Diceros bicornis minor: one gene and its partners. The protein of the gene in region 1 purifies or fractionates together with the protein of each later gene. This does not show direct contact. Links are inferred from orthologs where the notes say so. Each region holds a gene or a part of one and is shown in the gene's direction. Other genes may lie near its edges.

The links. Proteins that work in one complex are often made in the same cells at the same time.
Region 2: the proteins of CUL2 (region 1) and cyclin-dependent kinase inhibitor 2A-like purify together in Homo sapiens (affinity purification with western blotting; 3 studies listed by BioGRID, with this or other methods). This does not show direct contact. The link is inferred for Diceros bicornis minor from reciprocal best matches to the Homo sapiens genes CUL2 and CDKN2A.
Region 3: the proteins of CUL2 (region 1) and kelch domain-containing protein 3 purify together in Homo sapiens (affinity purification with mass spectrometry; 5 studies listed by BioGRID and IntAct, counting the BioPlex papers as one, with this or other methods). This does not show direct contact. The link is inferred for Diceros bicornis minor from reciprocal best matches to the Homo sapiens genes CUL2 and KLHDC3.

Annotation. Positions count from the first base shown.
Region 1 is NC_080775.1:32,877,053-32,884,713, reverse strand, and holds the start of CUL2 (cullin-2), read left to right. Parts: upstream 1-4,270; 5' UTR 4,271-4,382; intron 4,383-4,486; exon of another isoform or gene 4,487-4,616; intron 4,617-4,771; exon of another isoform or gene 4,772-4,898; intron 4,899-7,661.
Region 2 is NC_080761.1:44,431,798-44,439,822, reverse strand, and holds the start of cyclin-dependent kinase inhibitor 2A-like, read left to right. Parts: upstream 1-4,571; 5' UTR 4,572-4,607; coding exon 4,608-4,733; intron 4,734-8,025. UniProt on the Homo sapiens protein: Acts as a negative regulator of the proliferation of normal cells by interacting strongly with CDK4 and CDK6. This inhibits their ability to interact with cyclins D and to phosphorylate the retinoblastoma protein.
Region 3 is NC_080753.1:22,654,388-22,662,781, reverse strand, and holds the start of kelch domain-containing protein 3, read left to right. Parts: upstream 1-4,940; 5' UTR 4,941-5,150; intron 5,151-7,311; 5' UTR 7,312-7,370; coding exon 7,371-7,524; intron 7,525-7,699; coding exon 7,700-7,876; intron 7,877-8,030; coding exon 8,031-8,146; intron 8,147-8,333; coding exon 8,334-8,394. Other genes in the region: PPP2R5D (serine/threonine-protein phosphatase 2A 56 kDa regulatory subunit delta isoform), read left to right, coding at 265-435, 540-667, 1,316-1,417, 1,516-1,588, 1,731-1,847, 1,998-2,135; MEA1 (male-enhanced antigen 1), read right to left, coding at 3,291-3,442, 3,739-3,841, 3,929-4,195. UniProt on the Homo sapiens protein: Substrate-recognition component of a Cul2-RING (CRL2) E3 ubiquitin-protein ligase complex of the DesCEND (destruction via C-end degrons) pathway, which recognizes a C-degron located at the extreme C terminus of target proteins, leading to their ubiquitination and degradation.

The DNA of each region.
Region 1 (7,661 bases):
GATTTTCCCTTATGAATGTAAATGTTTGTCTGGCAACTCCTTGCAGGGCCACCTAGAGAATATGGCCAGAGACAGAATTTTTGATAAGATGGGCTCGTTGGTGCCTTCCTATGGTAACATCTGTTTTACATTGTATTACCAGCATCAGATAGTAACTCCTTCCTGGAACAGGTCTTCTATGTTAAATTCTTTAGGCAGTTAGTGGGGGAGGTCAAATGTCTGTCAGAGAAAACAATCAAGGTAAAGAGACATATTTCAGGGTGGCCAACTCTTGATCTCCCATATCCTACTGCTTCACTTTCTTGCTCACATTTTTCTAGCTTTGGCTAGTGGGAGCTCTTTCAGTTGCCTCCTGTAACCTTTGACATACCCTCACCAATGTGGATGTTTTTATTTTTGAGCACTTCCTTACTTTCTTACACTACAAGATTCTCCCGGCTCATCTTGTGTATTTCCTGCCCCAGCCCTACAGTCAGATATTTCTCCAAAGAGGAGTCTTGCATTTTCTTTTATAAGCACAACACAGCTCTTTGGTTAGCTACTCCAAACATGAAACCTGTTCTTCAATATCTCATTTGTTTTAGTTTACTAGAAGCAAAAGGTGGAAAAATATTTAATAAATGATATAACCAGGAAATGCAAATTCCTAGTAAAGATTTAAGAAAAGATGATTCAGATTTAGTATATAGAATATAAAAATGAGACAAATTATTTGAAATCATAAATATCGCAGCAAAATCAGGGCTCTTTGGATTTTATATCTATAAAGGAAGCTTATAAAGACAGCAAGTAGTTCTGGTTGGACTCCTCAAATAATTAGTACAGGGAGATTATGAAATGAACTTGGAAATTTTTGAAAGAAAAAATTATGTATACTCACAAATAGAGAATGAATAGAAGTGGATATACTTTGTTTACCGATTTATGTAATGACATTTTAAGATTTCTACTTAAAATATTTTTCATTAATTTTCCTCTTTAAATACTAATTTATAAATTACTCTGCCTGACTAAAAATTATTTATGTTCTCATAAAGATCAAAATCAGGAAGATTTTGAAGTAGCTGGCTACAAAATAGCATATCTATAATATGACCTGATTTGTGTCAAAATATTTAATAATATTCATAGAAAATATCTTGAGGAGTATTTATCAAGCTACACATGGTTATTTATCTCTGTAATATTGGTAGTTTTTTGTTTCTTTTTTACAAAAAAGCATTTATTACTTTTGAAGTCACAAAAAATATAAAGGAATTCAATAAACTTTACACAAAGCCAAAACACATTTTTAGAAATATATGTAATTTTTTCTAAAAAGTAAAACAAAGAAAAGATTCATGGATAAACTAGAGTTTGAAGTTTGGTTTGGAGGTAAAGACCAACCATTGCTTTAAAGTGGTGGCTTGAAGTGTTGGCCAGAAAGGAAACTTTTTTTTCTTGAAGGAAGTTGCAATCTCAATTTAATGTTAGGGGCTTGGATGCTATAACTTTTTTAGAAATGTCATTTCCCTATTATATAGGTTGAATAAGTTAGGAAGAGGTGAGAAGTCTCTGAATTTAGAAATAGTGGGGTGTTATGGCCATTCATGCTTGGCACCCTTTGTGCTAGTCCACATCTCCAGCTAGAGTTCAAAAGGAAAGTGGTGAGAGCGGATGCAGTTCATGAGTTAGAGCAGGGGTTCTCAAACTTTTGGTCTGTGGACCACTTTACACTCTTAACAATTACTGAGGAACTCAAAGAACTTATGCTTGTGTGGGTTATATGTATCAATAGGTACCATATTAGAATTAAAAAGAGGATTTAAAAAGCCCTATTTATAAATTAAAAAATAATAAACCCAAACACATTTTAACATAAATTGCAAAGTTTTATGAAAAAAAAAACATATCTTCTAAAATAAAAAAAATTTAGTGAGAAGAATGGCATTGCTTTGCATTTTTGCATATCTCTAATGTCTGGCTTAATAGAAGATAGCTAGGTTCTCCGTGGTTGAAGTACATGAAGAAAATAGGAGGCCTTAGTAGGAGAATTTAATGGTCTTTTTGGATAACCGGTGTGTATTCTTCTCTGATACTACAGAAAATTTGACAAGTGGTAGTTTCTTAAAGATTAGTTGCCATGAGGAATCTGAAACCATATCAAGTCACCTGTGTACTCGGCTTTTTTTGTGTGTGTACACACACACACACCCCTATCTACCAATTGGTCTCTCTTGTATTTTGAATGGATCTTTTATCCATGTGTGATTTTATAACATCCTGCATTGGTCATTTGGAAAATACTGTTTTATTGTGTCATGTAGATCTTCCATATGTTGACATATCTCATCATACAATATCAAAAAGTCATATTCATTAATAGCACTACAGTCTCATCAGAAAAGTCTTTAAGCTATCAAGCTTATAGTGGTGAACACAAGTTACCCAAATTTTCAAATTTCACTTGAAAGCTAAATTTTATCATTGACAACAAATACTCTCAGCTGTCTTGCTTGAAGTATTAAGCTCACTTCATTCATTTTGGAGAAATATTTGTCAATTACCAAGTCAGAGTAACATTAGTTTATCTGTTGTTCTTTCAAGGAAAAATGGTGTTCCATGACAAAAGCAGCTAGGTCAGCTTGCAACTCAGCTACACAAATGTTTTTCTTCAAGACAACCATCCTACTTTGGTATGGAGCTAAAGTGTGTACTTCCCATTTCTTCACACAGAATATTAGAAAGAGGTGTACTCACGGCTGAAATTTATAAAATTAATACTTTTTACTACTTCATCAAGGATATTCCTAAATAGATATTCTAAAAAACTGGTTTGGCAGTGTGGAGTGGAGTGTGTGGCAGCAAACAATACTGTGATCCATTGACCACTGGGACAGTTTTGTGCAACCCTCTTGGTTCCCGCTAAGGCAACTTCAGGGGTGTTACTACTGCTTATCACCATAAGTGTAAATGTGATAAAAAAGATAAAAAACATGTTGTATCATTATGAAGATTGTTTTTAACCTTGGGACCCCTGGAAAGGTCTTGGAGATTTCCAGACATCTGAGGACCACACTTTGAGAATTGTTGAATTAAAAAATGGAAAACATGGGGCTGGCCTGGTGCCATTTAAGTTTCAACGCTCTGCTTAGGTGGCCAGAGAATCTCGAGTTCAAGATCCCAGGCGCAGATCATCACACTGCTCATCCAGCCATACTGTGGCGGGGTCCCATATAAAGTAGAGGAAGATGGGCACGGATGTTAGTCCAGGGCCAATCTTCCTCAAGCAAAAAAAGGAGGATTGGCAATAGATGTTAGTTCAGGGACAAGCTACCTCACACACACACACAAAAGATGGAGAACATGTGAGAAAAAAGGTCATATAATGGAAACAAACCATTGAACTGAATTTAGTATATAATAACTTTATTAAAATAAAGTGTACAGACTTCAAGTGCCATGAGAAGGAGATAAGAGATTGCTTCTTAAATCTTAAAGAGTGGTGGGATTTATCACCTTAGGAGACAGGATTTAAGTGGGCCTTGAAGGATCAGTACAAATAGTCTGAAGAAAGGGTTGGAAGGGAAAGTCTTGCTCAGAACGTACAAATGAAGAACAAGACTTTGACCACTGAGATATGAAAGACAAATAAGGAATAAAGCCAGGCTTTCGTTCTCTTGTGGTTCTGTGTAAATGAGGAGATGACTAGTAAATCTATATTTTCATCAACATGACCAAATTGTAAGGGAGGAAAACCCTTTCCAGGGATATGATAGTGCTGGTGGTGGGGAATAAGTGCTCAAGACTGTGAAGAGAAGTTCCTTTAACGAAAATACATTTATGTATCATTATTTGTCTATTGATTAAAAACCCACTAGAAAAGGAGTCTGTCAAAGGGAAAAGCAGTTTTGCTGATATATTTTTGATCATTTGAAAAGCCCATGGAAGCGTGTGGCAAGGAGGCTGTGGTGTCTCAGAATATTCACGTAGCTCTGAAACAACTCACAGGAAAATACTTTTGTTGAAAACGCCTTTCTGACACTTTTCGTCAGCGAGTAGCCGCCAAACTTGGAGGGCCCTGACTACAGCCTGGCGCTTGCCTCGTTAACAATCAGCACCGCACGCAGCCCCTTTAGAGACTGCTCCCCGAGGCCTTTCGCCATGCACTAAGCCGGGCTCCCTGCGCTTGCCGTACGCGGACCCTACCACTGCTAGCGGAGGGGGGTTTGGAAGTGGCGGAAGGGAGACCGGAGGGAGGGTGTCAGGGAAAGCCGGCCGCCCGGAGAACGGCCGTTTCACGGACCCCGTAACCAGCCCGTCCTCCCCTCCCCCTCCCCACGCCACGTCCCGTCCGGGAGCGGCGGCGGCCTTGGCTTTGCGGCGTTCGCGCGCGGTGGCAGGTGAGCGTCGGGCGCGCGGGCTCCCGGGCTGGGCTCCCCCCGCGTCTCCGGGCCGGTGGCGGCGGCCGGCGGGGAGGCGGCCTCGGCGCACAGTAATGGCAGCGCTGTGAGCAGGGGACGCGAGCTGACAGCCGCCGCCGCCGCCCACCCTCCTCGCCGGGGCTTCGTCCTTCACGCCTTCGGGCTGCCTCCCCCTCCCCTTGTCCCCTGCCCCTTGTCCCGCTTCTGCAGCAGGTAACCCCGCTGAGGGTCGGGGAGCCGGGCTGCAGGCGCCGGGAAACTTCCCTTCCCGGTTCATGGGTGGCGAGGACGGGGCGGAGGAAAGGAATTGGGGGCGAGGAGCGGGGAGGGGGAAGGATGCAGGGGGCGGCCAGCGAAGACGGTGTCCTGTGAGTGACCCCGGCTCCCTGGAGCGCTGACCCCTGAGCCCGGCCGCCCCCTGGACTGGATCCCGGGCCTCCCCAGCCCGGCCTTGGCCGCCCCTCCCTCGGCCCCATTTTCCTCCGAAGGAGGGAGGTGAGAGTGCGTGGACTCCTCTGCTTATTTACGGGCTCCCACGGATCCACAACTCTGTGTGTCTGGGTTGGGGGTGGGGAGGAGGGCATCAATTTCTTACATCCTTACCACGAGTATTTTCACTTTTGTTTCCGCCGACAGGGAAGATTGATAGCTTTGGGGAGCAGTATCCTAAGGGCATCCGTCTCAACACTTAGGATCTGTGAAATAAGAGCCTCAGACTCTCTTTAGAGCACTTAGTTACACACTGGGGAGTCTGGACCATCCCTACCACCCCACGAATGCGTGCATGTAAATAAAACATCTGTGAATTGCAGGCTGTTGTTATTGTTAAATCCTCTCTTTTCCCCCATGGATTACTATTACCAGTAAAAGGGCAGCACCTTGGAAGTTTAAATTTTGAAGATAGTAAGATATAAACTACTGACATTCGCTGTAGGCTAACTTTACAATATAAAAATCTTTGAAAGAGACCTGTGCCAGACCTACATTCATAGTAAAATATGGGAAATAATCACCTTGTTCTGATTGATTACTGACTACTTAATAGACATTTAAAAACACTTAAAAGCCTGTTCCCTTCCCTTTAAAATGTCACATTCTTTTCCAAGATAGACAAATGAGCAAAATTGGTTATACTTGGCCTGTTTTGCCCAAATACAGTGTTTGGAAGACTCTTCCAAAAGAGTCATAAATGAAATAACAGATGGACACAGCGTTTTGAGTTATCCTTTTTTTTTCAGATGCTGTTTATAAGTTGGGGGAACATTTCTACACTGTGGGTGCACATAGTGTGTGAAAAATGCCTTTTCTTTGTATTTGAATGTGTCCGTGCATCTGAAGTACTCTTGGTTCACTCTCCCCCCTCTCTGATGATTTTTGGTGTTTTATAAATGTGAAGATAGTTTATCCATGTCTTTTATCCTCACCCATCTGTCACTAAATTAAATGTTGTGGAGCTTCTTTAAAGTCAGTTTTGCCTTATCTATCAGTTAAGTATTTATCAAGCACCTGGTTCGTATGCCAAGCATTGTTGCAGGCATTTAGGGAGACAGCAGTAAACAAGACACACTGAAATTTCTTCCCCCCTGGAGCTTTGATTCTGGTGGGAGAGGGAGAGACAGACAATAAATAGGAAATAAAAATATTTTCAGAGAATCACAAGTGCTATGAAGGAAATAAAATAGAGAGTTATGGTAGTGACTGGGAGAAGACTACTTCAGATGCTGTGGTCAGGAAAGACATGTCTGAGGTGACCTTTGACCTGATATCTGCGAAGGGAGAAGGATTTAGCGTTTGGAAGTCTGAGGGAAGAGTGTTCCTGTCTGAGAGAACAGCAAATGGAAATGCCCAGAGGTGGTATCGAGCTTGGGTTCAGCGAATGGGAAGAAGTTCATTAAAGGGGCATCCTAGTGAGAGCTAAGTGGGGAGGTCCTAGCCAGGGGCCAGGTCATGTGATGTCTTACTGTCCAAAGGAGTTTGGCTTTTATTCTTAAAGTACATTGAAAAGCTATTGGAATTTTTGTAAGGCTGGGAGTGATGTGGTCTGACTTAGAATCTGACTGTTGGGAAGATTGGGTAAGAGGAGAAAAGAAAGACCAGTCACTACTCCTCTCAAAGCTGACTGAGTAGAGTAGTGACTGGAGTCAGTAAAAGAGATTTTGAGATATGTCTGGAGTTAAAGGTATTTACTGAACTTGTGGTTTGGCTGGGGGTGCAGTTGGTTGGGACAGGGGTGACTCCTGGGGTTTTGGCTTCAACTGGAGGATGGTGATGCCATGTATTGAGATGGGGAAGACGTGAGGGAAGCAGGTTGTTAGGGGGATAGAACTGGATTGGACGTGTTAAGTAGGACCTATTAGATGTTCAGGTAGAGGTGAGAAGTAGGCATTAGATATACAGGTCTGGAGTTTAGTGGAGAGATTAAGGAGTCATTCATTCATTCAACAGTTATTTTTCAAGCACCAGCTATGAACCAGGCAGTGGGGATATAGCAGTGAAAAAATAGACAAAAATCTCTGCCTTCAGGAAACTTAGATTCTAGTGAGGAGAGAAAGAGATGGAGAGTCATCAGCATTTATTTGTTGGTTTATTATAATTATATTTTGAATAAAAATTACATTCACATGATTCAAAATTTAAAGTGTGATGGGGGTATAGAATGAAAATCTCCCCTGTTTCTTGTCCCCCGTCTCCCAGTTTTCGTCTCCCAGTTTTCGTTGGAGCCAAGCAATGTTAGAGGTTTCTTACGTATCCTTCCAAAGATATGTTTTGTGCACATATAAGCAAATATGTATATATTCTCTCCACTCTGCAAAAGTGGTAGCATACTTGACCTGCTTTGACACCTTGTATTTTTTGGAGTATTAAATAGTATTTAAAAGTTATGAAACATGATGAGACCACCTAAAGAAAGAATGTAGAAAGAAGAGGAGAAAGCTCTGGGGCTCCGCAGCCTTTTCTGACTTGGTCCTGCCCGCTTTGAGTTTGGGACCAACTCTACATGGGATGTAGAGTTGTTAGAGTTGTTACTTTTCCTGAGACTTTTTTCAAAAGTTTGCACTGTTTCTTTTGTGTTCCACCTTTCTTATCTGCCTGTTCTCTTTATATACTGGAGAAATGTTTGATCGTGATTGAAAGCAGTGGTTTCATGTCTGTACTGTCAGTTGAATTCAGGCAAATTGACGACAGAATCAGCCCTTGAATCTTAATATTTTGAAGACTTTTGACTGGCTAGTGTTAAATCTTGGGAAAACAAGCAGA
Region 2 (8,025 bases), on another chromosome or scaffold:
GAAAAGTCTAGGTTTGAATCCAGGCAGGCAATCCAATTCTAGAGACCATATCTTGAACACCTACCCCACTCCATGCTCCACCCTTAGCCTCTGAGCTTGTTGAATGAATGAACAAGTGGTAATCTTTTTTCTCTGCCAATGCAGCATAAACCTAAACAAGGCCATGACATTCTCAGGGAAGAAGAAAAGTAAGTTTGGGGGTGATAATAAGAATAACCAACAAACTTTAAAATTTACAAAAGCTCTTTGACATACATCTTCTTATTTTATCAACTCATGAAATATATTATGATTCCATCTTACACACGGAAAAGAGCTGAGACTGGCATAACCAGCACTGGCATCTTGGGCTTCATATTTTATTTCTTCTGAGGTTTTGCCCCTTAGGTCTGAGATAATATGGAAGGGTAAATTGGGAGTGTGGTAGGTTCTTTAAGAGAAAAACTAGGAAAGCTTTCACACTATTATTAACTACATTTTATGCAAGATTTCTAATGGAGTATTGGGTCAATTTCCAGAACAAAGGGGCCACACCCAAGGATACCATAATCTTTTGAAAACTCTACTGCAAGTGCTAGAGCTAGTAGTAGACACATGTCTAAAACCTGTTCTTGGGAGAAGCCAAGCTCCATGTCTGCATATAATGCACCCAAGGGATATTTTTATATGGTTCCATCAGCCATCAATGTCCTTCAACAACAGTCTGATATATTGCATAAGGTTAAAACAGTTCTTTTTTTTTTTTTTTTGGTGAGGGAGATTGGCCATGAGCTAACATGTGTGCCCATTTTCCTCTATTTTGTATATGGGATGCTGTCACAGCACGGCTTGATGAGCAGTACGTAGGTCCGCTCCCGGGATCCGAACCTCTGAACCCCAGGCCACCAGGGCAGAGCGTGGAAGCTTAACCACTACGCCACCAGGCCAGCCCCTAAAGAGTTCTTGATATAGGAATCCATAGTTGAGTTTTAGACGAATTTCTGAATTCCCTGTAAGTTATATTCAGAAATGCATGTGCAAGGAAACACACTTTTTTAAAAAAATTATTGCATACTTTATTTTTTGAGGAGAGGGTCTACGGCTTTCAACAGATTCCCAAAGGGGCCTACTCACCCTGCCCCAAGATTAAGAACCATTATTTTAGTGATGGAAACTAATTTTGATCTTGGTCTAAAAGCCAGACATATTACAAGGGAAATCTGTTCCCTCCCTCCCATCAATACCTTAAGCTACATTGAAAGAATTTTATGTTCTCTACCACAGTTTGAATTTTCCATACCATTGTTGTCCAAATAATTGAGAGGTACCTGGAGGAAAATATAGATAGCACAGTAATGCACAGTGGATTTTTATAACAGATTTGACATCCCACCTGTTTTAATTGGCATCATTTTAAAAGCAATTGAAAGTACAGTCAGGTATTCTGGGTCTTCAAGAGATGTTAACCAGGGATTGAAACATAACTTTTAAATAGAGCTGGGTTATCTAGTAGGCAGATTAAGCATATCCTTAAGGCATCAGCAAAGCCTGAGTAATTCAATTTTTTTAAAAAATCTATATTTTTTTAAAAGTGTAAAAGTAATAACCATGGGAAAAATTAGAACCTTGTTGGATTTTCTTTCACTTGTTATGCTCTTAGTTCTGTTTAACTTTTCATTACATACGAGGGTGGTGGAGGGTGTCTATCATCTTTTCAGTGATTCAGGTCTTCTTGGGCTTCCCTTTTATATACTATTGATAATTCTATCAAAAGCATGTTCTTCTCTGTGCCTCACAACAAGGTTGCAAGCGAACCCTCAAAATGGATAATTTAAGAGCTAACTGGTATTAGCTTAGGATGTGTGGCACTGTTTTAAATGCTTATATGTACATCAATTCATTTAAAACTCACAACAGCCCTATGAAGTAGGGACCACTCAGCCCCCTATTTTATAACTAAGAAAATGGTAAGATTTTTCCAGTAGGAAGGAGAGGTGTAGGGGGAGGGAGAGGAGCAGCCCCAGGACAGTGTGTGAGCCTGGTCTCTGAATCACTATGCAACTCTGTCTCTAGAGTGCTAAGCACTTTTTCTGATCTAGGAGGGATTATTTATTAAGAACGGAGTCTAGGGAGCCGGCCCCATGGCGTACTAGTTAAGTCCAGTGCACTCTGCTTTGGCAGCCTGGGTTCAGTTCCCAGGCACAGACCTACACCACTTGTCAAGCCATGCTGTGGTGGCCACCCACATAGAAAACAGAGGAAGACTGGCACAGACATTAGCTTAGGGCTAATCTTCCTCAAGCAAAAAAAGAAGATTGGCAACAGATGTTAGCTCAGAGCGACTCTTCCTAGCCAAAAAAAAAAAAAAAAAAAAAAAAAGAATGGAGTCTATCTGAAAGTAAGACCAGAAACTATAAAACTCCTGGAAGAAAACATAGGCAGTAAGCTCCTTGACATTACCCTTGGAAATTTTTTTTTGGATCTGATTCCAAAGGCAATGGCAACAAAAGCAAAAATAAATAAGTGGGACTACATCACACTAAAAAGCTTCTGCACAGTGAAAGAAACCATCAACAAGATAAAAAGGCAACCTACTAAATGGCAGAGGATATTTGCAAATCATATATCCAATAAGGGGTTAATATCCAAAATATATAAAGAACTCATATAACTCTATAACAAAAAAAATCACACAATCTGATTTAAAAATGGCCAGAGAACTTGAATAGACATTTTTCTAAAGAAGACATACACATGACCAATAGGCACATGAAAAGATGCTAAACATCACTAATCATCAGGGAAATACAATCACAACCACAAGGAGATACCACCTCACACCTGTCAGAATGGCTATTATCAAAAATGACAAGTGTTGGTGAGGATGTGGAGAAAAGGGAACCCTCAGGCACTGTTGGTAGGAATGTAAATGGTGCAGCCACTTTGGAAGAGTATGGAGGTTCCTCAAAAAATTAAAAATAGAACTACCATATGATCCAGCAATTCCACTTCTGGATATTCATCCAAAGAAAATGAAAGCAGTAATTCAAAAAGATATATGCACCCCTATGTTCATTGCAACATTATTTACAACAGCCAAGATGTGAAAACAACCTAAGAGCCCATCCACCAATGAATGGATAAAGAAGATGTGGTGTATATAGATATATACACATGAAACACTACTCAGCCATAAAAAAGAATGAAATCTTGCCATTTGCAACAACCTGGATGGACCTTGAGGGTATTGTGCTAAGTGAAGTAAGTCAGAGACAGACAAATACTGTATGAGTTCACCTATATGTGGAGTATAAAAAAAAAAATACAAAACTCAGAGAACAGATTGGCGGTCTCCACAGAGGTGGGAGGCTTGAGACTGGACAAAACGGGTGAAGGAGACCAAGAGATACAAATTTCCAGTTATAAAATACATAACTCATGTAATGTACAGTGTGGTGACTATAGTCAATAATATTGTAATATTGCAAATTTAAAAGTTGCTAAGAACGTGAATCTTTAAAATTCATATCACAAGAAAAAAATTTTATAATTTTACATAATAACAGATGGTAACTAGACTTATCGTGGTGATCATTTCGCAGTGTATACAAATATCGAATCATTATGTTGTACACCTAAGACTAATATAATGTATGTTAGTTATACTTCAAAAAAAAAGCAAATGGAGTCTACCAGTCCAATGACCCCTTTGCCACTTTCCTCTCTGCTTATAGGCAGAAATCTCCACCATCCCTGTTGAATAGACCTCATCTTCTGGGGGTCAGCCCTTATACCAGGCACTAGTACCAGGCATTGCGCAAGTCTGGGAGACTCTCGCCTCCGACATCCGTTTTACACGTGTGTGTGGGGGAGGCAGGGGAAAGGCTGGCAGGCGGGCAGATTCTCCAAAATGAACGTTTGAATTAGGATTTCTGGCATTGTGGACCCAGCAGGAGAAAGCCAAGTGCTGAGTGGTGGAGAAGGGAGCATGTCCTCTAAAAGAAGGGAAGCCTCATAGTCATACCGTGATACCGACTCTCAGCCGTTTCTTCTGATTAAAAGAGGAAGCAATACTTTGCCTATACTTCAAACACCCTGGTTCGAACATGGCAGTTAGGAATCCTGTGCAGCTTTCTAATGCCAAGGGTTTGTACAGGGGAGGGAGGAAACGAGGGAGAATCTGCGCCTTATGAAGTGAACTCGCTCGAGCCCCGTGTGCGCCTGTGCTGGAGTGGGGAGCGCAGCGCGGGGAGGAGGGGCGCGGGGACGCGGCAGAGGCAGGTGGGGAGGGGCCCCGGGCGCCCTGCCCCCTCCGCTTCTTCGGGCTGCTGGCACGGATTGCTTCCGGCCGGTGCCCCCGGGCGAGCTGCCCACCGGTGACGGCAGAGGCCCCGCGCGGGGCGACTTCAGGAGATGTGACATCTGCAGCGTGTTCCGAGCCCAGGGCGCCTCCTCGGAGAACACTTGAACGCGCTCCCGCAGGGGGAGTCGAGGGGCAGAGTCGGGGGCCGGCGGAAGGCGGAGGCAAGAGGAGGGGCCGGCTGGTCACGAGAGGCTGGGGCGGGCCGGTGGCGCTCGGCGGCGGCGGGAGGGAGGGAGAAAGCGAGGGGCGAGCGTTGGGGAGCAGCATGGAGTCCTCCGCCGACAGGTTGGCCACCGCCGCCGCCCGGGGTCGGGCCGAGGAGGTGCGGGCGCTGCTCGAGGCGGGGGCGCCACCCAACGCGCTCAACCTTCACGGTCGGAGCCCGATTCAGGTGAGTCGGCGGGAGGAGGGGATGGGGGCGGCTATAGAGGACGAGGTTTGCAAAGGAGTCGGAGCCAGGTAAGCGCTTCGATTCTCGGTAAAGGGGAGACTTCCTGGAGAGTTTTCAGATGGAGTTTGGAGTCGGAGACCTCCTCTTGGCGACGCCTCGGGGGCTCAGGGAGCCACGGGAGAAATGAGGAGGCACGTGGAGTGCAGATCTCTAGACTGGACTGTAGATTTGGAGGGGAGAGCCTATTTGTGTTAATATAGACCGAGATGTGTTCTTTGTCAGACAAAATGTACGAACGTTTGAAATAAAACGCAAGATTTTAAAGAAATCTAAGATTTGCTGAGACTACTTTGCTCGAACTCACAGAGTCCTCAATGGAGCCTACCATCTTTCTTGCGAGGGGAGATTTCAGTGGAAATCTACTACTGTATATGTTGGAATAAATGTCCATTGGAATTATTCAGAAGCAACTACATATTGTATTTATTATTTTAACTGAGTAAGGAAAACATATGCTTGTGAAACTAGGAATTACAGACAGATATATATGAAGAAAAACATTAGTGTGACCTAGCCTGAAATGATATCAATTTAATTACCATTTTGGGGGTATCTCCTATTATTTTTGCTATTTTTAGCTTACTTGATATAGATTAACATATTTGGGGTAGAGTTTTCAATTCCTCATTTTTGAGAAATGCCTTTTTTCTCCTCCCTACCCTAGTTTTGTGTGTGTGTGTTGGGGGGAGGGGGATTGTGTGTTCTTGGTTGTTGTTTGCCTTCGCTAGCTTCCTAAATTTCAGACTAAAAACGAATTCTTCCTGGCAGTCGCCACCCTAGTTTTATTCTTGGTGTCGACAGTGATTTCTGATTCTGAAAAATAAATTTATAGGAAACAAATGCACGTTGCAAAAACTCCAGCATAACAAGACAAAGGAAAGTAATTCTATTTGGAACTTCACAAATTTCACAAGCGAATCTTCCTTTCCTAACTCTATGCTACATAGGATAAATTTCATACATTTTAAAATACAGAAATAAAAAACAAAACCAAAATGCCTTAAAACTTGAGATTGTTTGAGATTTGAAGTGTGGAGAGATGTTGAGACTAGAGAGGTTGCGTGAGGGTAGAAGTGAGGCATGAGTCCTTTAAAAATAAGGCACACATGATTCTTAATTTGATATCTCTAAAATTTTGCCAGCACCTTGGAGACTGGGAGTTTGGCCTTGCAGTTCTAGAATATGTTAGAAGAGACTTTATTTGTTTACATACAAAAAGAAAAAAGGAAGTTGGATAATTAGTTTTCACAATTTTTTAAATAGGGAAGATAAGAGCATAGAGAAAAGGGGACATGATTTTGGTTTAGAACACTAACCAAATTTGTGTTTAATATAAAAGTACTTAGTTTATAGAAATTACTAGTGAATTTTATTCTATTTTATTAATAGGTTATTTTAAATTATTAAATTAAATTTAATGTCTTATCAAATAGATTTAAGCACACTACAAATATTCATTTAATTGATTCATTTAATTTTTTGCTTTGGACTGCTATTATTATTATTTAAATATTAGGTTACTTTTCAGTCTTTTTTTTTTCAATTATTTTATTGAGGTCATAATGGTTTATAATGTGCTATTTCTTAGTCTTTAATACTGTAAAACATAATAAAAACTTTTAAAACCAGTTTTATGACCAAGATGAAGGACTTCATTGTATAAATTTTTTTTTATCCAATTTTCATTATATTTTCACCTGCATTGTATACAGATATGGAGATTGACCTCTTCCAAGAACAGGTTTTAGACATGTATATACTAGCTCTGCCACTTGTAGTAGAGCTCCCAAAAGATTACTCACTCCATAATCGATTAGAAATCTTGTGTAAATAAGTAGTTAATAATAGTGTGAAAACTTTCCCAGTTTTTCTTTTAAAACAGTGCATTGTTCTAATGCAGTACAATAGTTTTTCTTTCTTTCTGTAGCTGTAATTTAGTTCATTTACATCTTCTCTCTGTCTTTTTGAAAATTAAATCAGTTTCACTTTCTCCAGGACAAGAATCAACAGCCATAGTATAATTTATTATGATTCCTTGCTTTCAACAAATTAAGCAATTCGTATTTAATACAGAATGAAACTAAAAATAAGTACTCTCTCTTTATACAGTCACTATTGTACAGCTAGTATAACCAAATAATGGTTACCCTAAAAAAGAATTTTCTACCACCACCACCCACCATGCAACGCTTAGATTGCAAGGTTGCTGTGGACACTATTTAAAAATTCCTCTTTGGTAATGGCTTTGTGTCAGAGATAATTGAGCAGCTAAATGAGGTGAGCACCTCCAGTTTAATGAACTTCCAAGGTGTAAACTTTAGAAATGTCTTAATTTCCTATTTCTGCTGTAACAAATTACCACAAATTTAGTGGCTTAAACCAACATAAATTTATTACCTTACAGTTCTGGAGGTCAGAAGTCTAAAATGGATCCATAGGGCTGCATTCCTTTTGGAAGTTCTAAGGGAGAATCCATTTCCTTGCCTTTTCCAACTTTTAGTAACTGTCAACATTCCTTGGCTAATGGCCCCTGCATCTTCTTTCTGACCTCTGCTTCTATTCTTATATCTTCTCTCTGACTGTGACCTTCTTATAAGGAGATTTGTGATTACATTGGGCTCACCCTGACAATCCAGGTTAATCTCTCTCGAAATCCTTAATTTAATCATATCTGCAAAGTCCCCTTTGCCATGTAAGGTAATATATTCATAGTTTTTGAGTATTAGGAAGTAGATATCTTTGGGGGGCATTATTTAGCTTACCATAGGAAGGAATTTGGGGGCTGGTTACACAGACCTTCTCATTTTATACTTGAAAAAATTGAATTTTAACATTCCGGGAAGCTAAGAGTAGCTTAAAAGTTTTGCAAGAATTAACATTTTGGTGTTCTGGGGTTTTTAAATTTTCATTTTCACTTTTTAACAATTTCCACATTCTGGGCTTGGATATACAGCAGTGGACCATACAAAATCTCTAGGCCTTACATAATTTCATATCAAAATGAGGGGAAAATACAGGAGGTTAGGCTGTAGCAAAAGCCAGTTTGTCCCTCACGCCTTTGCTGTTGTGATGCCCCTGGCAGTGTTCTGTGTGTGGCTGAACTCCGTCCGAAGAAGGTTGGAGAATATAATGGAATTCAATGTAATGTGTACAGAAAATGGAATGGGTAGGAGAACTGGCTACGTGAGTTGGTAACTGAAAGCAAATAAAGAGGAACTAGACACCTGTGGAT
Region 3 (8,394 bases), on another chromosome or scaffold:
TGCCAGTCTGCACCTATCGAGCAGTGCCGTAAGCAGGTGCTCAGGATGGGTGTGGCCCAATGGGTGACACGGTTTCCTCTCTGAAGGAGAAGTAAAACCTTTATACACCTAGGAAACAGATCCAGGCCAGAGAAACATGAGCAGTTAGCTGAGGCCACCCACGCTGTGCCCACCAGGGTAGGGAAGAGAGGGCAGGAAAGCTTCCTGGAAAACCAGGCAGGTGTTGAGTGAGAATTGTATCCCCATGTCCTCCTCTTCTCACAGGTGATTGTAGGACTTCTCAAGTTCTGGCCCAAGACCCACAGCCCCAAGGAGGTGATGTTCCTGAATGAGCTAGAGGAGATTCTGGATGTCATTGAACCTTCAGAGTTTAGCAAAGTGATGGAACCACTTTTCCGACAGCTTGCCAAGTGTGTCTCCAGCCCCCATTTCCAGGTAAGACCCAGACTTGGCATTTCCCACCCCTGCCTCCGAGAAACTGAGGAGGGTCTTCAGCCAAGCGAGCCATATCCCCAATGAGTGCCACCTGTCCCCACCAGGTGGCAGAGCGTGCTCTCTATTACTGGAACAATGAGTACATCATGAGCCTGATAAGTGACAATGCTGCCCGAGTCCTCCCCATCATGTTCCCTGCACTCTACAGGAACTCCAAGAGCCACTGGAACAAGTAGGGGGCTGGGGTGGGGCTGGGCACTGGGCCTCTGGGTTTGGAACCTGTGAGGGTGTGGAAGAGCTAGAGAGCCAGCGCTCTTACCTGGTCGCTCAGCAAGTGGGGCTGGTGCCCACTGCACAGTGATAGGCCCTTGAGGGCCTGACTGGGAGACAGGATCCCTGTGTGAGAGATCTCTGTGACACCAGGCAGCAAAGCAGGGACCTATATTACATCTCTGCCTGCCGTCAGATATCCTGCAGCTTTGGAGACTTAATTCCACGCTGTGAGAAGCCGATATGATCTTCTTAGTAGGTGCTGAATCCCAGCGCTGTAAAAAGGCTTTCCTGCTAAAAGCATGTGCCCTGGGGTGCAGATGTGGTCCAGTGTGCTGCTGGGAGGCCATCAGTGTGGGCTAGAGCGTAGGAAATGTGGGGGTGGGGAAGGATGGACAGGTGGACCAGTATTTGTAAAGACCCTGAAATGCCAACCTCAAGTCACATGATTTGGCCAGAGATGAGCTTATACTGTGCAGAGGTTTGTGCAATGGGAGCAGAAAATGAGAAAGCTCTTAGCAGAGACACCTCCTAGGAGAGAGCAGATTAGGGTCCTGGCACTAAGGGCAGGCTCTGGCCTCCTCTACCTCATCTTTCTTCCTGGTGGCAGGACAATCCATGGACTGATCTACAACGCCCTGAAGCTGTTTATGGAGATGAATCAGAAGCTGTTTGATGACTGCACACAACAATACAAGGCAGAGAAGCAGAAGTGAGTCTCTCTCCACTTGAGGGGCTTTCACCTTCTACCACAAGCCCCCCTTTGCTTCTCTCTTAAGCCCAACCCCAATCCCCTCTCTGTTCCCTCAGGGGCCGGTTCCGAATGAAGGAAAGGGAAGAGATGTGGCAAAAGATCGAGGAGCTGGCCCGACTTAATCCCCAGGTGAGGTTTTTTGCCACTGCCCTGAACTGAGGGGCCCATCTTGGGCTGGGGGAGGATTTGTTTGAGGCAGAATATGAAGCAGACAGGTTCACAGACTTCTGAAGTGGCTCTCACCACTTGTCCGTGCCTCTTTCTTGCTCAGTATCCCATGTTCCGAGCTCCTCCACCACTGCCTCCTGTGTACTCAATGGAGACAGAGACCCCCACGGCAGAGGACATCCAGCTTCTGAAGAGGACGGTGGAGACAGAGGCCGTGCAGGTGGGAGGGCACAGAGGAAGGGGGAGCAGAAATAAAAGATCTGGAAGGGAAAGGAGACAGCTGCAGCAGAGCCAAGGAATAAGGGGAAGAAATAATAGAATTTATTGGGAATTGGTCACCATTGCTCGCCTTTTCCGTATCCACACACAGATGCTAAAGGACATCAAGAAGGAGAAAGTGCTGCTTCGGCGGAAGTCAGAGCTGCCCCAGGACGTGTACACCATCAAGGCGCTGGAGGCGCACAAGCGGGCGGAAGAGTTCTTAACTGCCAGCCAGGAGGCTCTCTGACCCCCTCACCTTCCCATCACAGGGCCACCGCCCACTCAGCCCTGGGACGCTGCCCTGGCCCTCCACCCTCTGCTCCCCACTGGCTGACCTGGGGCAAGGCAGTGCCTCTTGAGCTACTCCAGGGAGAGGGATGCGGCACTTGAAGCAGGGACACCCAGAGTGGTCCCTCTTCTCCCCAAAATGTGTTCATGCCTCCCTGTGGCTAGTAGACAGGCTGAGCACTGAGAAGCTCAGTGCTCAGACAATTCGGGGATGCCTGTCCCCCTCCTGCTCCTAACCCCTGAGGCTGCTCTGAGAAACAGACGAATACATATGCTCCTCTCCCGTTCCCTTCATCCTCATTTGAACTCCAGGGGCCTTTCCTTCTCTCCCTCCCCTGCAGAAGCATTTGGGAGCAGCAGCAGATTATTCTCACCAAAGTTATGCCAAGCCCCACTGGCCCCTGGAGTGAGTAGCTGGAGGGGAGCCAACCCCCAGCAGCACAAATAGGCCCCCAGCCCCAGCAGTGTGCAGGCTGATGGGGTTGTATTGTTTCCTCTTTCCCCTGCCTGACCAAGACAACGTGGGAGGTCAAATGGACAGTAGGTGATGAATACAGGGCCCAGATGGACCAAGAGAAGGGGGTGAATGAACACCCGACCCTGTGCCCCCTTTGGTGAGCAGCAGCCCTGGGATCACAGACATGGAAGGGACCACCCTGCGGCTGACTGCTTTCCTGTGCTGTAGGTCCCCAAAGCGAGGAGGAAGGAAGCAGGGAGCAGTGCCCCAAGCATAGCTCCTCTCAACACCTATTTATTTCTTTGTTTGTGCTGATGCTGGGCAGGCCCTCACTTGTCCCTTTCAGGCACCTAGGAGGGGCAAGGGGCTGAGGAGGGCCAGACCCAGGTTCCAGGGGCACAGGCAGTGCAGCTTTTGGCTGTGTACATAGGGTGCTTTATTCTCCACAGAGTGATACATGCTAAGGTGGGTTGGGCTTGGGCCGATGTCCCCGTATGTACAGAACTGAATAAAGTGGGTCTCTGAGAAGTCTGATTTGCCTTGATGTGGAAAGGGAGGTGGGGAGGATGGAGATGGACAATACAACCAGGGATGTGTGTTCAGTCCGGTGCTGGTTCTGGCCTGGAATGCAGAGAGATAAGGCCGCTCTCAGGGTGGTCACTTCCAGGCTGGGGAAGCCTGCCGGGCTTGGAGGGCCTTCTGTACCACATCTTCCCACTGGGCATCTGATATCTCCCGAGCCCAGGCAGGAACCCCTGGCGCAGGCAGGCTGACTCCAGCCATCGTCCTTTTCACCAGCTCTACATGTTCTGAAACCATAGGCAAGGACCAGTTAGGGATAGAAACAATGAGACCAGCTCCCCTCCCCACTCCTTGAATTAACCCAGAACCCTTGGGCCAGCAAGGTCACCAAATCCATCTTTTTTCTAGGCAAGCCTGCCCGTCCTCCAAGTCTAGCAGAATAGCATTTCATCTGGATTCTGAAGTCTGCAAAATCTTAGATTACAAATTGCTGTTTTAGGAACAGGGTGTTCCTCTGTGACTTCCCTCTTCTGGCTCTGGCCAGTCTGTAATTATTCCAGAATGAAAGAATGATCTCTCTTACCTGGGTCCATGGGAATAGAGCTGTGGTTGCTCAATGCTGTAGCTCCCTCCTCATCTTCACCCTCGCTCTCTAATGGTGGGTCTGGCAAATGAAGCCCCAGGGCCTGCAGAGCCAGAGAGAAGACAGTTAAGGCCAGCCCTTCAGGGATCCCAGGTTCACCTGCCCAGGAACAATGCCTCCTCCACCATACCTGGATCCGATCCTGGATATCAGCAACTACATCTCCATCCCCTACTGGTGCCAGCTCCACCTCCTCTTGTTCAGGATCTTGGTTCAGGGGCTGGTAGGAGTAGCCAGCTGGGCCTGCCCCTGTTTCCTCCTGCTCTTCCTCAGGCTCCTCACTGCTCCAATCCCCAGTGCCTTCTGTAGGGCCCTGGTGCGGCCCTAGTTCCTCAGTCTGATTGGGGAAGATACGCTCAGGGCCCATGGTGTCTCCCCCTAGAACTACTGCTGCCATCCGGGCAGGGGCTGCAAGAACGGGGAGGGAGGATAGGGATCGGATGAAATCAGGTCCACCTTCAGCTTCTCATCCAGTTCCTTGTGGTTTCCTCCTGCGTCCACAAAACATTTAAACGCCCCCAAGCTTCCTGCACACCACCCCACCCGAGCCTCTCCTGAGTTCTCTTGGGCCCTCCACCTCTTAAGTCGGCTCTTATCTTGAACGGAGGCCCACCCACTCTGCTCTGCCAATGCTTAATAACAGTCCAACGGGAGGCCACGCCACGTACCCAAAGACACTCCTTCCAGAACCCCCTCCTCACCCCCGACTTGGAAACTCCGGATCGCCAAACAAGCTCCCGTAGACAGGGCGTACCCGCCCCCTTTTCCCCTTCCCAAGGGGTCCCCTCTGTACTGCCTGACAAACGCCCTTCAAGCTCCAGGGGTTCCCCTCAAATGGCCCCAGCTGCGGCGCCCCTACCCGCCCCCACCGACCCTCGGCGCCGGTACCCCCGCGCGCCTCACCCGCTCCGAGCCCGCGGCCGAGCCGCGCCTTCACTTCCGGCGGGGCAGGACGCGCGGGGACGCTCGGTCCTCCAGCCCCGCCCCGTGCCCATGATTGACGCGCGCGAGGACGCGGACCGCCGGAGGCCCCGCCTCCGCCAACCTCTGCTCGGACGACAAAGGACTACATTACCCAATAACCCGTTTTGACAGAGCTGGATACACGCGGACTCTCCTTCTGCCCCTGCCCACCCCTCTGCCCGTCACGTCCCTCCCGAAACCCGTGGACTACAGGTCCCGGGAGGCCTCGAGCTCTCGTCTGACTGCACGTGCGCACACCGGGCCCGCCCGAGGCACCTAGCCCGGCTGTGTTTATCTCGTTGGGGACCGAGTCGTCGGTTGGCGCGCAACCGGTTCTAGGCTGCAGGCAGCGCGAGGCCCCGCGGCCCCGCCCCGGCCCGGCCTGGCAGGTAGCCCGGGATGGGTTGAGGAACAAGGAAAATTGGAGGGGCTGGGGGCGCTCATGCCGGGAGCTGGAGTCATGGGGGAGGGGCCTGAGGGTGATGGGTGGGGGTAGAGAGGGATCTAGGGGGATGATGGGAAAGGAGAGTGTTAATGGGGAAAGAAGGGCTGGGGAGGATGGTGAGGAAACGGGTGGGAGAGACCTGGTGGCTGGAGGAGGCACTGAAGGAAATTGGGAGGAAGACTGGGTTGTGAGGAGAACGGGGAAGCTGAAGATAATGGAAGAAGCGGGGGAGGGGCTGGCGTTGTGGGGGAGGGGAGGTTGGGATGACAGGAAGACAGGGATAGCGTCGTATACAGGGAGGCAAATCTCTGGCCGAAAGGGGTCAATGAATCTTAGTTTTTTTTCCCTTAGTGGAAGAGGGAAAATGGAGGGCTGTCGGCGTGGAGCTTGGAGTGGTGGGAGAAGGAAAAAGGAGAAAACTGCAGAGCTCTCAGGAGATCAAGAAGGGCCAGAAATGGGGAGTGAAAATTGGGAGAGACCAGGGAGGGGGGTACATGAAGGGAATTGAGGAAGCTTGAGAATGCCCCGATGATGGAGGATCCCGGAGACCCAGAGATAAACGGAGCCCCTGAGACCTTGGGGGCTTGTCCTCCATGAGCTTGAGTTGTCCTTATGGAAGAGAAGCTGAGATTCTCTCCACGTTTGGATGGAATTGCTTGTCTTTTCTTCTGTGAATTCTTTACCTTGACATAGCTGAAGGGGGGAGCAGAAGCTAGGAGGGAAGATGAAGGACTCCCATTCTTAAGCCCTTCAACCTCGTATGTGCCCCCATGAGCCCAGATCCAAGATCTTTTGCATTGAGGTCAGGAGTAGTGAAGGGAGAGTGGTTTCCTACTGGGGCTATTTCAGGTTTGGCAGGGTGGCTATTTAAAGCATGGGGTGGAGGGTTGAGGGAGGTTAGGGGTGGCTGGTAAGCCAGCTAAAGCCATATCTCTTTCTTGCAAGGGGCCTGCCTTACTTGAGCTTTCTCTGTCCCTGAGGTTCTCTCTGGCTCTTCCCTCTGCCATGTCTTCTTGAACACAGAGCAGATGATCCTCCCAAACCCAGCAGGTGCTTGCCAAGGAAGGCAGTGCTAGCTGCAGGAGGATTTGCCTGACAGCCTTCAAATGTACCCATTATCACTAGGTTGAGAAGTTGTCTTTAAGAGACCGTGACCTCTCATGCCTAGGTCTTTTTCTTGTCCTGCCCAAGGTCATTTGTGCTTCCCTTCCCCTTTCCAATGCACACCCCCACCTCATCCGCCCTGTCAGGGACCCAAGTGGGAGAGTTGCTGCTGGAAACAGCTTGTTTTCTACCACAATAGCAGGGTGGGAGAAGCGGCAGGAGAAGAAAATCCCTCCTCCCCACCCCCACCCCCTCAGTCCCCAGCAGACACATACCTTTCTGGCTAAGTTCCTAGTCTTGGCAGCATACCAGGCACAGCTGTCAAAGGAACTCCTCGTGCCTGGGAGGGGCCCTGGGTGACCTCGATGGCAGCAGCTCAGCTTGACAAGAGCTCCCTATGAGGGGCTAACCACCCGTGGTAACATGGAGGCCCCTGTCCTGGATCAACCCCACCCTGTCCTCGATAGAGGGACTGTTCCAGTCTAAAAGCCTAAAAGCTTTTCTGCTTGGAAGCACCCATGCCAGCTTTCAATGGACTGTCTGGGGCTGGCTGTGCTATTAATAGCTCTGAGTATTTTGAGATCCCTCTCCCCACCTTAAAGAGCACACAGATTCTTAGAGAGGTGGCAGTAAGCAGAGCAGAGCCAGAGAGACAAGAGAACACATTGGCCTGGGAAGGGGGCTTGGAGCTTGTGCCAGGCCAGGGACAGAGTGGAGCCTCCATGAGTAGGGGGTGACCACCCTGAGAGCCTTGATCAGCAGATTCTGAGCTGGCAGTCAGGTCGGAGGGGCCCCACCCTTTGCTGTTGGCGAACACAGCCAGGGCTAGCTCCCTGACCTCAGCAGCTCCCCTGGGGCAGGGCCAGGCAACTGAGCCATGAGGGGTGGTGTGGGAGGGCCACCAGGGTGACACTTAAAGGCAAGGGCTGGCCCTGGGCAGAGGCACGGTGAGCCAGCCAAAGGCCTTGCCTGAGGAGCCTGTGGCCCTAACTTGTGTGCAGGTAGCAGAGGCAGCAGGCCGTGCCGGGGGGGCATGTTGCTGTAACCAGTGGCCCAGGGGATGTTACGGTGGACAGTGCACCTGGAGGGCGGGCCCCGCAGGGTGAACCATGCTGCTGTGGCTGTCGGGCACCGGGTATACTCCTTTGGGGGTTACTGCTCTGGTGAAGACTATGAGACACTACGTCAGATTGATGTGCACATTTTCAATGCAGGTAAGCTAATGCTGAGACCATCCTTAGGTGCCTGTCAGGGAGGGGAACGGGCGGCTGAATGAGGTTTGGTGGTGGTCTCGGTGGCCATAGGGGATGGGGGAATGAATATCTGGTTTGGGAGAAGGTGGACAGCCTCCAGAGATGTTCCCAGGGCTGAGCAGAGTTGTGCCCACAGTGTCACTGCGTTGGACAAAGCTGCCCCCGGTGAGACCCGCCATCCGTGGGCAGGCTCCCGTGGTACCCTACATGCGATATGGACATTCAACCGTCCTCATCGACGACACAGTCTTCCTTTGGGGCGGGCGGAATGACACTGAAGGGGCCTGCAATGTGCTCTATGCCTTTGACGTCAGTGAGTATGAGTCTCAGAGAGGCTGTGTTCTGCCAAATGGTGCTTCAGGGGACTGGGAATGGTGTGGTCCAAGGGGGCTGGGAATAGGGCACCCCGGAGTCTAGGAGGGAATGTCAGAGGTTGCTTACCTGGCCCATTCTCTCACCTCCTTCAGATACTCACAAGTGGTCCACACCCCGAGTATCAGGAATAGTTCCTGGGGCACGGGACGGACATTCAGCTTGTGTCCTGGGAAAGACCATGTACATTTTCGGGGGCTACGAGCAGCTGGTACGTCTAGGAAGAAACTAAAGGTTTAGGGTGGGAATGAGAAAGAGGAAAGGGAATTGAGGGTGGTGAAATGGGAGGCTTTGGCTTGTTGGCAGGTTTTGAGGGGAGGGATGGAGGGTCAGAGTGTGACCACTGATCCCCTCTTTTATTCCTTCCTCCACTTCCTTCCCTTTCTCTTCCCACTCAGGCGGACTGCTTTTCCAATGACATTCACAAGCTGGATACCAGCACCATGACATGGACCCTTA